Linked DNA regions of Nothobranchius furzeri. The protein of the gene in region 1 interacts with the protein of each later gene in a pairwise test. Links are inferred from orthologs where the notes say so. Each region holds a gene or a part of one and is shown in the gene's direction. Other genes may lie near its edges.

Region 1 (3,512 bases):
AAGCTCAGGAACGTACAATAGTTACAGAATTTAATCAACTTTTTTTATTTACTCTAAAAGATTTGCTCTGGGCTAAACACCTGGTGTGTGTGTGTGTGCGCGTGTGTGTTATGTGATTCCTTTTTACTAAGAAATCTTGGCTGAAGGTAGTAACTGTTTCTAACTCTGACTTCAGTCAGAGATGTCAAACGTTAACCCGACAAACTACGGTTCCTGTGAAAGAGGAACAACCCCCTCGAGTCTGAGTCGTCACCGAAGCCAAACATGTGACCCGTCGCAGCGGAACTGAATGGTTAAACTGATCAGAGGAATCCGTGCTGTACAGTTAAAGACTCGTTCATTCAGGCTTATGATGGCTTCTTCCTCCAACTGTAAAGAGAAACCCTCTAACAGTTCCTGCTTGGCTGAGAATAAAAAGGGGAAACGGTTAAAAATACCTTCTAGACACTGTGTGTGGATCTGACCACTTGTTTATATTGTTTATATTTATACTGCCGTTAGACTTGTGAACAGCTTATAAACACACAACCATGCTCGTCTTCGGTACTTGACATAACATCACGTTATCGGCCATATTACCTTTACCTGCCATTTTTTATAGCAAAGTTTTATGCTAGTTTATTATATTTTATTCTACTTTATTCTATTTTTTAATTATATTATTCATGTTATATGTAGCACGTTAGTACCGAAGCAAGTTCCTAGTTTTTGAATTGTTTGTTCACTGACAATGGCAATAAACCTTTTCTGATCTGATATAAAGGTGAGAAATGTGGCCAAATTAATTTTATGGACGTGTCTTTTAAAATGAGTTTCAACTTCATACGTCGTAACAAACAGCAGGGTAGAAGGTGAGTGAATGATGGTATGGAAGTGCCTGTACTATTTAAAGTTTGACAGAAGTTTGCTTATTACAAGCTGTCAGAAATCTTAAAACAACATCAGCATCCTTTTTACTGAAGTAGAAGCTAACGCTAAATCATAAACCTCCTTGTGTTCCTGATCCCGTTTCCCAGATGATCAGAACGATCCTTGTGTTGGTTGTCACAGGTACGATCCAGAGAGGGACCAGTGGCAGCTGGTTGCCCCCATGTTGACGCGCCGTATCGGTGTGGGCGTCGCCGTGATCAACAGGCTGCTTTACGCCGTCGGGGGGTTTGATGGAGCCAACCGGCTCAACTCCTGTGAGTGCTACAACCCTGAGCGGGACGAGTGGAGGACCATGGCCCCTATGAACACCGTCCGGTCTGGAGCTGGTAAGGAGGAAACGGGAAAACTGCTGAGTAATGATGAACTCAACAAACTGCCATGTTGGAAATTTACAGAACTGGTTTTGCAGGTTAATCCATGAGTCGTCCGTTCTTTCCATCTTCGATCAACATTCAAAAATCAACAGAATGGGGAAAATGGCAGATAATGTTTTGATACCAAAACACAAAAAATGCCAAATTTTATTTTGTAATCAATCGACCGATGATAGTCAGTTCTCACACAGTTCAGTTTTGGCTTTCAAAGTAAAAGCAGATGACCAGAAACCAGAAGAGGATAAAAATACGACCGTAGATTATGACCCGAGGGTTTGAGCTCCATCCGTTTTCACTCAGACTCTGTCCACCTAAACTCGTCTTCGGGAACCAAACAGTGCTTTTAATGAGGTTTACAGTCTATCATGGGATACTTTTATTTTGAAATATATTTTTCAGATCCAACTAAAATCATTGTCTCTCATTTGGCTTTAATACAAGAAGATATTAAATAGTAAAACATTAATCATTAAATACCAAGTCAGACTCTGCAGAAACTTTGTGTAGTTGGTGAACTTTCATTGTGAAATTATCAATCAATCAATCAATCAAAGCTTTATTTATAAAGCACCTTCCGCAACCCTGTCAGGAAGCCCAAAGCGCTGAACATGGTTCAGTTGAAGGTAAATATATTATGATGTTTCGGTCGGCACATTTTCTGTAAATAATGGTGATCAGAAAATAAAGTTTTTGATGGAGCTTTAATTTAGAGATTCTGAATGCTGTCTGGAACATTTATAAGTGGTCAAATCTTAAGTCATCTGAAACTAAAGTTAGTCTCACACGTGACTTGATGCAATTTGCTGGGTTCCTTATATAGGAAACATTATTTCTGATTGGCTTAATGAACTGACCTGAATTGGAATGTTTATTATGTGAAGTGCCTTGAGACGACTCTTGTCGTGATTTGGCGCTTCATAAATAAACTTGAATTGAATTGAATTGAATTGGGCTTTTGTTCTGAAAGTCAACAAAGCAGTAATCCCACATGAATCATTTCAGGATCAGGTTTGATTCTCTAGCCATAATCTACTCTGGTTTAACACCAACAAATGACTCAAAACTTCATGCAGCAGTTAAAAATGACCAAAACAACTTCAGCTCAGCAAGTAAACTGATGAATTTAGGGTTCCTTTTCAGTCGATTCACTCGGTACAACGAAGGTACTATGGGACATCACGCCCTCGTGTGGCCTGGCTGAAGACACATTTAATCACGCCTGTAAGGCAAATGAAAGTGACGCGGCGTGGAGGTCCCGCCCTCCACTTATAAGCGGCCACTGTCATTCCTCAGGTCTTACGCTCTTCACCTCGCTGACTACACATCTGACAACTAGCTGCGCTGTTAAAAGATGGCTTAACCGCTCGCTGACTGGACTACTGCCTTCTGGCTAGCATTCCTGCCCACCGAGCGCTATCTTTTTTGGCTCTTCAGCTTCTCTGCTTCGCTCCGCTGGGTGTCTTGCAATGAGCACTGTGTTGGACGTTGCTTCAAGGAAAGCCGCTTCGCGCCCCTGTCCTCAGGGCTGTGGATTCTTCTTCACGGGAAGGACCTACAAGAAGCATGCCCGGTTTGTCTGGGAATTCTCCACGCCAGGAGAGAGCTTGTGGAGCCAGAGGCATGCGAGTTCTGTCGCCAACTCCGTCGTCCCACGCTCGAACGGCGCGTGAAGCTTCTACAACGTCTCCTGGGAGACGCTGCAGTTTCGTAGCAGGACCCCGTACTTTCCCGTTCGGTCCCGGCTTCGCCTAGCCCTGACGTGGACAGCCTAGTGATCAATGTCCCCGCTACTAGCTGGGCAGATCAGATGGAGATGGCGGACAATTTAACCGGACCAGACCTAAAGGCTTCTCAGTTTCCTCCTCTGGCAGAGGATGAAGGAGACACTTTGGACATTTGCCCCGACGGTCAGGACTTACTCGAGGACGAGGAGGTCCTCTCGGCGGTGGAGTGTTCTGCTCCGGTCGCTACTTCAGCCTGCGAGCTGCGAGAGGACACTTCTTTTCTCCCGCTCTGCCGGCGTGAAGCGGGGAGGCTAGAAATGGACTGGCCCGCTCCTCCACCTGCACAAAAGAGGTCCCGCTTTTCTGGATTTTACCTCCCCTCGGAACCAGCTGAGGTAAAGAACTTTCTGCCACTTTACCCGGATTTTGTGGCTGAGCTCACGGCATCCTGGGTCAAGCCGCTATCCACCCGCACCACGGTCCT
Region 2 (4,253 bases), on another chromosome or scaffold:
TGTGCAGCGAAGGCCCGTTGAGAGCTGATGTTGGATTACAGTAGTGATGCTGTAACAGTTCACACTGATTTAAATGTGCTGTTGGAAACTCACTTTTCATCACGATAGACGGATCTTTTGGATTTTTGCATATTTCACATGAGATTTTACTGTGGTTTCACAGTTTTCTGACCTTTTTATCATCTCTGTGGAGCCGTCAACATGACAACAGTGTTGTTCCAGATCTGCTGCTAAGCAGATGAGTTTCCATTGATCATAGTTTAATTTTTCCTAGTAACTGTATATGAAGAACACTTCCTGTAGATTGGAATAGATTATTATTTACCAGTTATCCCTGTTTTATACTGTAGTCTTGTCGATATTTGAATGAGTTTTGTGCTCTCTTTATGATCCTAAGAAGAGTACAGCCTTATATGAATTGTTGGGTTTCAGGTTTTAAACACATTTTAACACTTCACAAGACCATTAAAGAGTCTGAAAGCCAAGTTGGCTCATTCATTTTTAAGTTTATCTTTCATTTATGCCTTTGAGGCTGTAGTCTGAGAACTCGTAGTGGTCTTTTTTTTTTTCTTCATTAAAAGTTGCAGCCTTACAAAGACCGGACAGGCTGGATTATTGTTCTATGTGGGCCTCATGTTCTTTCTGTAGTGAAGACTGAGTGCTTTGCAGATCTAGATGATTGATAGATAAACAGAAGCTGGTGATGCTGTGTCTTGTGCCTTACAGTTCAAACTTCCTCATTTATTTTCCTTGACTCAAGGTGCTCTTATTAAAGTTTTTTTTTCTTCTATTGACTTGACACCAATAGTGCAGGTGTTGTGCACCTGAACACTGATATTCCCTTGTGGGTCAAAGGTAATTCAGAAATCTTGCTGTAAACTGTTTTGTAAATAAATAAGTGACTCATGTTGGAAAGTGTCTGATTTTACTTGATTATTTATATTTCAATATTTACATAGAGTATTTTTTCTTGTTAATAACTGAACAAATAACATTAAGCTTTGGACAGTTAGAAGTGAGATGCAGTTTTTAATTAAAAATTAAAGCAATTCAGATTATTACAGAAGATGATTAGGGCCACTGAAAAGAAAAGAAAGAATTCAGATTTTTCCAAGAATTCTGAATTTTTCTCAGAATTCGGACTTTAATCTCAGAATTCTAACTTTAATCTCATAATTCTGATATTTCTGAACCTCAGGATTCTGACTTTAATAATCCGGGGGGGGGGGGGGGCAGAATTCTGAAACAAAAGTCAGATTTCTGAGATTGAAGTCATAATTCTGAGATTAAAGTCGAAATTCTGAGAAAAATACCAGAATCCTGAGATTAGTCAGAATTCTCCCCCCCCCCCCCCCCCTTTTTCAGTGACCCTAATCATCTTTCTTATTACGATAATGTAAAAAAAAATAAAATCTGCGAAATGTGTTGTGTGGTGCGGCAACACTATGGTTATTACGGTAACCTTCCATTCACTCAGCGGAAGAAGACGTGTTAGGGCTTCCGGCTTCGTGAGGTCGGACTCGAGTCGGACAGCCGTAAAAGCGACTCAGTCAATGGAACATGGAGTGTGTAAGTAAAATGCTCGCTACTACACGTTTTTACTTTTAACAAAGCCTCTAAATAACAAAGCTAACTTTTTCTGTTTTGGATGCTAATATTAGCAGCTAGTTAGCACGCTATCTGTCTGCTGGTTTGTTAAGAAAGCACATTATTACTTGAGCAACTGTAATAAAAAAAAAATATATATATACATATATTGAACGCGTTACATAAAGTTTTGCCAAGCTTACTAATATATATAAAACGCCCGAGTAGAAAGAAAGTCTCACCTGAGCTGGCTTTTTGATCGATTGTGTCGCTGGCTAACACGCTAACGTTAGTGATGTAGTTTTTATATATATAGTAATTAATGTAAGAAGTTTGATTGGTGTCGACATAATATAGTACAGTTAGCTGCATCAGAGACTCTTTATGAGTGTCTGATGCAGACCTTTTTCTGTTTATCAGAAAAAACAGGTCGTCTTTTTGTCTCAAATGTGACTTCAAGTTCAGCAAACAACTTGATATACTAACTCGAACGTGCCACGAAGTGTATGATTAATCGAGACATTTTAGTTTGTCTAGTTAACCTTTAGTCTGTCCACCACCGTGGATTCACTAGGCTAAGGCTTTTCTATCGGTTGTCCCTTTTTTTTTCATTCAACAGCTATACACGTTACAAATTATTTCTGCAACTTGAACGTACCAATTATCTGGAATGCTCTAAAATGCAGAAGTAGTAATGTGGCTTATTACACGTAGAATGCTTTGAGCCAAACCGCGTCGTTTCTCTTTTAATTTCCAGTGCACACTTCATTTTGCATATCTAATATTTGATGTCAATCAAATATAATTTACTTTTCAAGAAGAACGCTAGGAAAACTGCACGTGCATAAATAACAATATATTTTGCAATTTCAAGCCAAGGCTAAGTTGTGCAGGTTTGATTTTCTTTACATTTTGCGTGAATCAGAATAAAGTCCCATTAGTTGTCACACACACTGATGTGTGTGCCACATTTGTTCTCCGCATTTGATCCATCCCCTGGGGGAGCGGTGAGCTGCAGACACGGCAGCGCTCGGGAACCAATTGGTGGTTTAACCCCCTAATCCAACCCCTTAATGCTGATTGTCAAGCAGGGAGGCATTGGGTCCCATTTTTTTCCAAAGTCTTTGGTATGACCCGACCAGGAATCAAACCCTGATCTCCCAGTCTTAGGGCAGACACTCTGCCACTAGGCCAGCCCACTGAGATGGCCTAGTGGTAGAGTGTTATTGTCAGTGCTCCAGCATCCAGAAGCACAGAAATGTGTCTCCGCAGTACAGCCTGACCAAGGTTACACACACAAAACATATAGAACAAAACCGATACAGGCAGCCACGAGAGCTGCCATTCAAGGCAAATAAATGGAATAATCATCTGTAATTAATGGTAAAAGTCTCAAAAGTGCAATTTGGACTTTTCTCCCTGTATGGACCAGTCCTCCTTACACCGGCTTCAGCTGGTCCAAAATGCAGTGGCCCGACTTGCTGACTGGCACCAGCAAGCGGGATCACATAACCCCGGTTCTGGCCTCTCTCCATTGGCTTCCTGTCTCTTACAGGATCCATTTCGAAATTTTACTTTTTGTTTTTAAATCCCTTCATGACCTGGCCCCATTTTACATCTCTGAGCTGCTGTCCGCTTACGTCCCTGCCAGAACCATGAGGTCCAGCTCTCAAGCTCTTTTAACAGTTCCAAAAATCCGCCATAAGACTCGCGACAACAGAGCTTTCTCTGTGGTTGGTCCCAAACTGTGGAACAAGCTACCTTGTAGCTCAGGTGGTAGAGCAGGTTGCCTCATGATCGGAGGGTTGTGGGTTCGATTCCAGCTCCCGCCAGGGGTATCCTGCTGTTGTGTCCTTGGGCAAGACACTTCACCCAACTTGCCTGTGTTAGTGGTGGTCAGAGGGGCCGACGGCGCCAAATGGCAGCCTCGCCTCTGTCAGACCTCCCCAGGGCGGCTGTGGCTACAAGTAGCTTACCATCACTAGCAGTGTGTGAATGTGAGAGTGTGTGGAAGCGTCTTTGGGTGTCTTGAAAAGCGCTACATAAGTTCAATGCATTATTATTATTACCTCTCAACATCAGGACCACACAGAATCTAGAGCATTTTAAATCCCTTCTTAAGATGCACTTTTTTTATCTGGCTTTTAATGCAGGTTGACTTGAGCATCTTAATAGTTTTTAACAGTTTTAATTATAAATTGTGACTGTTGTGTGCTCATCTTATTTTAGGTTTTTATTGTTGATTTGTTTTACCTTGTACAGCCCTTTGGGTGTAGCTTTGCTGCTGTAAATGCGCTCTATAAATAAAATTGACCTTGACCTTTTCTACAGGAGAATGCTTTAAAAGGAATGCAATTTTAAAACTTAATTAACTTTTAATAATGTATTTTTACAGATTCCAGTAACTATTGATGACATCGAGAGCAAAAAGGATCCATTCATTGGTGGTAAAGACATTTTTTTTTTTTGTTTTGTTTCTAAAACACTGGCAAGCGAGTGTTTTCATTAGAGGCTTTCTCATTTCTTTAGACCGAGACCGTAATGTATACACCAGGTTTATGAAGTCCCATCGTTGTTATGATCTTGTACCCACAAGCTCCAAATTAGTTGTGTTTGATACTTCACTCCAGGTACAGCAAATGAACATGGTTGTAAATGTTAGTGGA
Region 3 (4,038 bases), on another chromosome or scaffold:
GGCAGACCCTGCATTACACTGAGTGTGCAGAACTATTTGAGTCTTAGTGATGAGGTAAATTTATGACATTGTGAATTTTTATATTCTTTTATTTAGTTAGTTGCCATTGGTCTATGTGTGCTATTAGATAATTGAAATACCCTAAATTGTACATTGTTCACCTGTTTTGTAACTTTATATGTATAACCCAGAAATCCTGTTTAGCTTTGTTCACATTTTACATTAGGGTACTTATTTTTGGTCACACAGGCTAATTGTAATTAGAGGCTGACCGATATATCGGACCGATATATTAAATTTTTTCTACATCTGTCATCGGCCGAAGTTATTTTTAAAAGATGATTAAAAACATAATAAAATCAGGCACCTGTGTGGTAGTGATGGGAATTCCGGCTCTTTTTAGAGAGCCGGCTCTTTCGGCTCCCAAGTGGCTTCTCAGATTTTCTGTTGCGTAGAGTATATTTATCACCAAAAATAATGCAAAACTATACGTAAAATTATTTTATAATGTAAAAAAAGCAATATACCAAATAATTATCATTTATACGGATTTATTAACTAAACACCAAGAAATCTCAACTTTCCGACTGCTGTCGCTCATTTTCTCACCGTCTTCGTCGCACTTTCCTCTCTCTCGCTCGCCTTTTTCCTCCTCCTCATTCCCTCTCATCTCCCTCCGCCCGCATGTGCTCTGCTGTGTGTCTAAAGCCTGGTTTATGCTTCTCCGTCAGCTCCGCAAGGGACAGACACGCATGGATTGACGGAAGCGTTTTGCTTTCATACTTCTCCGTCTCCTGGAGAGTGTTGCAAAGCAATTGCCCGGCAGGACAACAGAGGGCGTAGCGCTGTTCTGTGGTATCCTGTCATGTATCGGTCCAAGATCGTGTGTTTATATTGTGTTTTTGTGTATATAAGAGACTTTTAACACGGACATATTTGTCTCTCATTCTCCCACCTCTTCATGCGCTCCCCACCTCTAAACCCACGTTTCCTGTCATTTCCGTCCACAAATAAAATGCTTGCTGCGCATCTTTTCACTCCTCCAGTCACGGGAGAATTAAACGTTCATATTTTTAGAGTTTTTTCGCGAGGTATTCTTCAAGCTTCTCCGTGTCTGCCGCTAGTTATCCTCGGCTCTCTTTGCAATGGCGGCGCTGTAAACAACAGCTGCGTCCTGACCAATCACAAGCTTGCGTAATCCGTCTCGTTCGACGGATGTTTAAAAAAGTAGGCTCGACTCCGTACGTACTTGCGTGCCCTACGCAAGGACGGATAATGGCGTTGCGTGTCTCCGCACTGACGCAGACGGAGAAGCATAAATCAGGCTTGAGTCTGATCCTCCCTCTTCCCCGCCCCTACTGCTCTGTAGCACACAAGGGGGTGTGTGTGACAGCTCCCAATGACGAGCCGGCTCCCGTCATTCACTTGATAGAGCCGGCTCTTAGAGCCAGTTCGTTAGCAACCGACACATCACTACTGTGTGGCCAACTTCCGCCACTACTAGACTGAAGAAAGGCCCCAAAGGACCCCAACCAGGGCTGGACTGGCCTATCTGGCATTCTGACACTGTCCCAGCGGGCCGCTTAGCCAAGTGGGCTGCTTGTGATCTGCAGAACATTAGCTACATGCATGGACGTAATTTTCACTTTAGAAGTGGGGGGGACACGGGGGTGGGGGTATCTTTACTGTATGTTCTAATGGGAAACAGGCTTAAACACAAACGGTTGTTTTCTGCTTGGTCCTAGAGCTCAACCAGTGTCAATTTAATATAAAGTAATATTGTTTTTGGATGGTAAAAAAAGCAGGGGTCAAAACTTCACTTTGGAAAAAGTGGGGGGGACATGTCCCCCCTGTCCCCCCCCAAAATTACGTCCATGGCTACATGGTAACCCGAAGCTAACAGTTTTTCCTGGCGTTTTTAGCAAGAAAAGCACGGTAGAGCGATGACGTAGGAGTTGTTTTACCACGTTAGCGTGTAGCTAATGTCCAGCTGATCTCCGCCCATGGCGAGCGAGCTGATCTGGAAGGCCAGGTCTCCCGGCCGCAGCGGTCTGGCCCTGCTTGTAATTTAACAGTCCCAGTCCATATTAGATCTCACATTCCGCCTAGAGACGAGTCCGCGGGGGCAACACCCCCCACCCCCACCGCTCTCCCAATTCGGAGGGCCGACGATTCGTAAAAATGCCAGGGCCGAATTTTGGTCCCAGTCCACCCCTGGCCCCAACACGCAGTTTTTTTAATGTTTTGAGTTTGTTTAATATTTGAAGTTTAATATTTTTAGATGTCGGCCATCAACAACAAAATTCTTTAAAAATCAGTATTGGCATCAGTCTAAAAAAAAAAAGAAATATCGGTCGGCCTCTAATTGGATTGTTAAGTGTCATTGTTGCATGTAGAGCGGCCACTGCAAAAATATAACTCAATTGATATCACGTAATAATGTGATAATTCATTCATTTATCAAGCACCTTCCTGCCACCAATCAAGACAGCCTGAAGTGCTGAACATGCTAAAATACATTTAAAAACAATTTAAAAAGACGTAAGAAGAGTAATGGAACCTAATTATAAAAGTGCAATACATGAGCAACCACAAAATAAGGCAGTAAGATGTTATGATCATTAAGCTCTGATACAGATAAAACCTAAAACTAATAAAATGAGAAACAATAAAACTGTAGAAATTTTACAATATAGGGCAAGTTAAAGCATCGACCAGATAAGAACAATAGTAAGGCCTATATGATGCTATGAATCTGTAGTGCAGTTTCAGGTTTGTCTAGCAGAAGGCTTAGTTTTTTTACAGTGTTTGGGGCTAACAACATAATTTTCATGTTCTTACAATATAATATCAAGTTTTTGCAATATACATGTTTATCACACGTGCACATTATAATGATATGAAGTGCAATATGCTTATATGAAACAAATATACATTATCACATTTCTGGGTTAGGTTACAACATATTATTTTCCAAATGTGAAGACTGTAATGTTAAATTAATGATAACATCGTTCAAATTTTATTTTGCGTGGGTGGTAGTTCTACTTTACTTTACATTAATAAGGAAAATGTTTTCTAGTGCAGAGATTTGGGACTGTAATCAGCCAATCACATTACAGGAATGATAACATGTGATTTGCTGCCAAGCCGCGCGCGAGAGAAGTACAACTGGTAAATTGTCTAAATAAATTATTTTTAATGCCAAAGTAATGACTGTAACTAAAATATACTTTTATATATACCATGTTCAACCGAATAAACATGATATTTAAACAAAACTAGTTTAGCTCCAGTTAGTGCTGAAGAGTCTGGCTAAATGCTGTTAGCTCACATGCTAATGTTAGCATCTTTTAGCTGGGTTTTAGTTAGCGTGACTAAATAAATATCTTATGTTTTATTTTTAAAAAGCTAACATAAAAAACACCAAAAATTTGTGTGTTTTTACTTTTTATTTTGTTTACAAATGTATTCATCATGAGCAGTTTAGTATTTTAACTGAAAATGTGTCCGGTAACAGAAGTTATCATTCGCAGCTAAAGCCGATGGAAAACAAATACTTAAAATAGAGGATAAAACCGAAAGAACATTACATTGTTTTATATGTGAAATTCAAGTAATTGTATTTAAATCATATTATTACTAAATGTAACTTTTCCACAAAGGACAATAATTTTATAATACAAATTGAAATATTGAGTCAGTTTGGGTCAAATATTGTAGTCACAGACCTCTGATAAGCACATTATTGCAGTTGTGTCTAAACCTGGTCCTCTAGGGTCCCTATCCAGTGTGTTTTAGTTGTTTACAGGTTGCATCACCTGTTCAGCAAGCTTTTTAATTACCCACTGATTAAAATCAGGTGTGTTAAGGCCGAAAACCCCTCTAAAACATGCTGATAGGACCCTCAAGGGGAAGAACTGGAGTTTAATTCATTGTAATTTACCTAAATAATTTAATCTTAAATTAAAACAGTAAAATTTAAATATTTTGTTATGAATCCTTCAAATTAAACAAGTTCAAGCACCAATGTGTGTG
Region 4 (4,011 bases), on another chromosome or scaffold:
CTGAACAATTTTTGTTTGTTGATTATATTTCATTTTTAATTTATTATTATTTTGCATCATGATTTATTTTATGGTGTAGTGTCATGTGGTAATTGTTGCAAATTCTAAATGTAATTTTTATTTTCCTCAACTGAGGTCATTTTTATTTGCTTTATTCTTCAGTACGTTGAATGTAGGTTACATTGTAAACTGAATGTATGTGAAAACGAAGATTGAAATAGTTTTAAAAAAGTTTAAAATGTACTGCAATAACCATTTTAAGCCGGCAGATGGCGGTATCTGCCCCGATTGCAATGACAATATTGAGAAAACTAACAGTTTATCTCTTTTTATTCCACAATCCACATTGGTAGCAGTTGTCATAAATTATTTCAGAAATTGAGAACTGCTCTGGCGCTCTCCATCTAGCTCTGGTGCTCCCCTGCTTTTCCTGACTCTGTACCGGAGGCCGGTGACCCACCGCCGGTCTTCCACCCGGAAGTGTCTGTGGATCTTCCACTAGATCTGTCACGGATTCGTCTGGGGGAGCAACAAAAATGATGGAAAAAATAAATGCATTAACGCTTCTGATTGCATTACACTGTATATGCATGAAGTGACTGGGAAACGCATTTGTAAACCGCTTGAAATATTTCAAATATTTTCGGTGACAGCCTTGTTTGTTTTGATTTTGTTAATAAAGTAAAAAATAAAAACGTTGGCATGATGAGGCCGATGATGCAATAAGTGCTGCAATTACTGAGGTCACTACTACAGCCGCAGGTACCGTGGCAGCAGTGGTAGGAGGCGTGGCTAGTGCCACTAAAAGTCGTGGTAGGGGGCGTGGCTAGTGCCACTAAAAGTCGGAAGTGTAATGGCAGCAGTGGTAGGGGGCGTGGCTAGTGCCACTAAAAGTCAAGAGCAGCAGTGGTAGGGGGTCGTGGCTAGTGCCACTAAAAGTCAATAATCCAATAATACCTAGCTGCGGACATTGCCCAGGAAAAACGTTTTTCCTGGGCAATGTCCGCAGCTAGACCTTACTCCTAAAAGTCGTGGCACCACCCGGAAGTGTAATGGCAGCAGTGGTAGGGGGCGTGGCTAGTGCAAAGTCGTGGCACCACCCGGAAGTGTAATGGCAGCAGTGGTAGGGGGCGTGGCTAGTGCCACTAAAAGCCGCGGGTGCCACTAAAAGCCGTGGCACCACCCGGAAGTATCAGAACTGCCACTGCAAGTGCCACAAGCGCTGCCGCTGCCACAAATTGCGCTCGGTCCTGCTGTAAAATAGACACTAGGGTAAGTAAACAGCCTGTAGTGTGACATCTACTATCTTTAAAAAACAAACTCATGGTGGGTCTGTGTTTGTGTTTCCACTAATCTGCCACATAGGTCAAGTTTTAATCAAACAATGAGAGAAATACGCTGCTGCCACGTCAACTTGAAGAATTCTGATTCGTTTTTTCAACCTGTGTGAAGAAGAAATCACAGAAAGGATTGACTAAAATGTCACAAGATTTTGCAGTACGGAAATAAAGATGATAAAGAAGTTAAAACAAGTGAAAGGTAAAATCCGATCAGATTAGCTGTGGTTTCATTATTTTTTGACTTAATAAATTTAAAAAAGAATTAAATTACACGCTGTGCGAAAGACTCCCAAACTGATGAATTGAGTTATTTTCTTGAATGCTGATAAATAACATACGAGTAGAAATGTCGACTCCATGAGAAAGTGTAAACCATAATTTCAAAGCTAAAGCTAATTCCCATTACAAAGTATCACTAGTGAGGAAGGGTTAGCTAGGCTGCTAGCTCGTTGTCAATTATGGCTAGTTTCGGTGTAGATTTGTCTGATTGATGGGGGAAAACCTACCGTATAATTTTATTTAGCCTCCTCGGATCTGTCGTGCTATTGGAAGACATTTTTGCCCCCAAATCTCCTTTGTTAAAAAGCAAATAAAATAAATTTAAAGTGACCGACGGACAGCTGATCGGCCTCGCGGTGAGTGACGAAACGAGATCAGAAAATTATTTCCGCTAAATTTCAAAACAAGAGTTCAAGATGTTTTTTTGCATTGACTAACATGGAGGTAAAATATTTAATATTTTATTTTGAAAAGAACAAAATAACCCAGTATAAATGGGGCATACGGGTTTAAACAGTACACTCTTTATGATAGGAAAACATAATACAGGAATGTGTGGCTGTGGAAAGGATAGAGAAACGGTAGAAAATGTACTGTGTAAATGTGACAAATATATAAAGAATAGGAAAATATTATCTAGACAATTAAAGATGAAAGATAATGAAAAGTTGAATTTGAGGAATATATTAATTGGAGGATTAGATGTGTATAAATTACTAATTGAATTTTTAAAGACTGGTAATTTAATATATAGAATTTAATTAGAACAGTTTCTCCGTTTCTCCCTAATGCGACTCATACTCCCACACAGAAGGTGGCGGAAATGCACCTAGAAGTTGGTTGCCAGCATCGACCGCCACCCGCCAATGAACAAGAAGAAGAAGACGTTGTAACTTAGCAAACATGTATCGTTGGTGGTTTAAAATATTCTAGTATTAAACTTCTAGCTTCGCTTTGAATATATTAACATGACTAACAGATAGCGTAGGTACGTTTTTTCATGTTGATTATTAAAACGCTTTTTATTACCGGAAACTAGCTCGTGCACAGCATAATGACACAGTTTGAGGATATTGTGGGTGACCGATGATTGTTTCTCCTCACAGGTAATGATGGCGTTCCCTCAGCCCAAACCTCAGGCTCCTCAGCTTCCTCAGCATCTTCTCCGGACCATTGACTGCCAGCAAGGAGCTGTCAGGGCTGTTCGCTTTAACGGTAAACTTTAAAACCCCTCTTGAAGCCTGATATTTACTATTTATGCCAAAATACAAACAAACTTCCAAAGAACCAAACCTGTCTTTTTTTGTTAATCATTTAGTAATGTTTAAATCTGTGTTTACAATTTCTGTGATCTTGCAAATGGTTTTTACTTTTATTGTTATTGAATGGCTTTTCCTCCATACATCTTTGTACCTGATTCTTCATTAAAATCTACTAGTAGCAGCACTGCAATAAACACAAAATATAGTTAGTGTTTAATGTTGAGAATATTAAAATAATTTGATGAATCCATTATCCATCTGGCTAATGCCTAATCATAAACCATTAGTCCCTTGCATTCACACACACACACACACACACACACACACACACACACACACACACACACACACACACATACACATATATGTATGTATGTATAAAGTCTTATATTTTAAGCCTTTTGCCCCAAATGAATGACTTATGTAAGAAAAGATGTCAAGTTGTTGTTGTTGTTGTTGTTAGCCTCAAGGGCAACATGCCGATTATCACTTGTAAGTCGCTTTGCACAAAAGCGTCTGCTAAATACATAAACATAAAACATTGTTTTTATTGGTGTAAAATGTTCCTTTTTGCTTAGCTGTTGGTCGTGTACTGACAACACTTAATACACCTTTACTTAGGGCTTTTATTTTGTTGATGTTACAGTAGGAAGTGGCTTAAAATGAAAAGCACTCTTATGAAATTGGTCGCATGCAAAGATTTGACTGAAATCAACAATAATAATAAACATGATTGTTTTCCTCCTTATTTTTAACCAGCTGACGGAAACTATGTACTGTCGTGCGGCAGCGACAAGTCGCTGAAGTTATGGAGTGTGAGTCAGGGGACCTTCCTGAAGACGTACAGCGGTCATGGATACGAGGTTCTGGATGCAGATGGGTGAGACGTTTGCTCTCATTTTCTTCCTCAGTATTTCAGGAATAATAAAATGTTGTTTTCAGGTGATTTTTTTTCCGATCCATGATGGAAAGAACACAAACACTTCAGTCATCTATTTACTAAACTCCTTTTGAGCCTTGATGGACCTTTTTTTCCCTCTTTGACTGCTTCCACAGGTCATACGACAACAGCCAGATTTGCTCCTGCAGCTCCGACAAGAGCGTGATCCTGTGGGACGTAGCAACAGGCC

The links.
Region 2: the proteins of keap1b (region 1) and 5'-AMP-activated protein kinase subunit gamma-1 interact in binary tests that used the Homo sapiens proteins (3 or more experiments, as listed by UniProt). The two-hybrid records come from large-scale screens. The link is inferred for Nothobranchius furzeri from reciprocal best matches to the Homo sapiens genes KEAP1 and PRKAG1.
Region 3: the proteins of keap1b (region 1) and E3 ubiquitin-protein ligase CCNB1IP1 interact in binary tests that used the Homo sapiens proteins (3 or more experiments, as listed by UniProt). The two-hybrid records come from large-scale screens. The link is inferred for Nothobranchius furzeri from reciprocal best matches to the Homo sapiens genes KEAP1 and CCNB1IP1.
Region 4: the proteins of keap1b (region 1) and wdr83 interact in binary tests that used the Homo sapiens proteins (3 or more experiments, as listed by UniProt). The two-hybrid records come from large-scale screens. The link is inferred for Nothobranchius furzeri from reciprocal best matches to the Homo sapiens genes KEAP1 and WDR83.

Annotation. Positions count from the first base shown.
Region 1 is NC_091747.1:74,212,976-74,216,487, forward strand, and holds part of keap1b (kelch-like ECH-associated protein 1B), read left to right. Parts: intron 1-1,050; coding exon 1,051-1,256; intron 1,257-3,512. UniProt on the Homo sapiens protein: Substrate-specific adapter of a BCR (BTB-CUL3-RBX1) E3 ubiquitin ligase complex that regulates the response to oxidative stress by targeting NFE2L2/NRF2 for ubiquitination.
Region 2 is NC_091743.1:48,654,638-48,658,890, forward strand, and holds the start of 5'-AMP-activated protein kinase subunit gamma-1, read left to right. Parts: upstream 1-1,444; 5' UTR 1,445-1,560; coding exon 1,561-1,569; intron 1,570-3,982; coding exon 3,983-4,034; intron 4,035-4,116; coding exon 4,117-4,217; intron 4,218-4,253. UniProt on the Homo sapiens protein: AMP/ATP-binding subunit of AMP-activated protein kinase (AMPK), an energy sensor protein kinase that plays a key role in regulating cellular energy metabolism.
Region 3 is NC_091742.1:58,868,530-58,872,567, reverse strand, and holds the start of E3 ubiquitin-protein ligase CCNB1IP1, read left to right. Parts: upstream 1-1,229; 5' UTR 1,230-3,174; intron 3,175-3,204; exon of another isoform or gene 3,205-4,038. UniProt on the Homo sapiens protein: Ubiquitin E3 ligase that acts as a limiting factor for crossing-over during meiosis: required during zygonema to limit the colocalization of RNF212 with MutS-gamma-associated recombination sites and thereby establish early differentiation of crossover and non-crossover sites.
Region 4 is NC_091744.1:1,725,326-1,729,336, forward strand, and holds the start of wdr83 (WD repeat domain-containing protein 83), read left to right. Parts: upstream 1-1,202; 5' UTR 1,203-1,272; intron 1,273-1,411; exon of another isoform or gene 1,412-1,539; intron 1,540-1,846; coding exon of another isoform or gene 1,847-1,896; exon of another isoform or gene 1,897-1,999; intron 2,000-2,472; exon of another isoform or gene 2,473-2,607; intron 2,608-2,725; 5' UTR 2,726-2,728; coding exon 2,729-2,834; intron 2,835-3,640; coding exon 3,641-3,761; intron 3,762-3,937; coding exon 3,938-4,011. Other genes in the region: wdr83os (PAT complex subunit Asterix), read right to left, coding at 1,847-1,896. UniProt on the Homo sapiens protein: Molecular scaffold protein for various multimeric protein complexes. Acts as a module in the assembly of a multicomponent scaffold for the ERK pathway, linking ERK responses to specific agonists.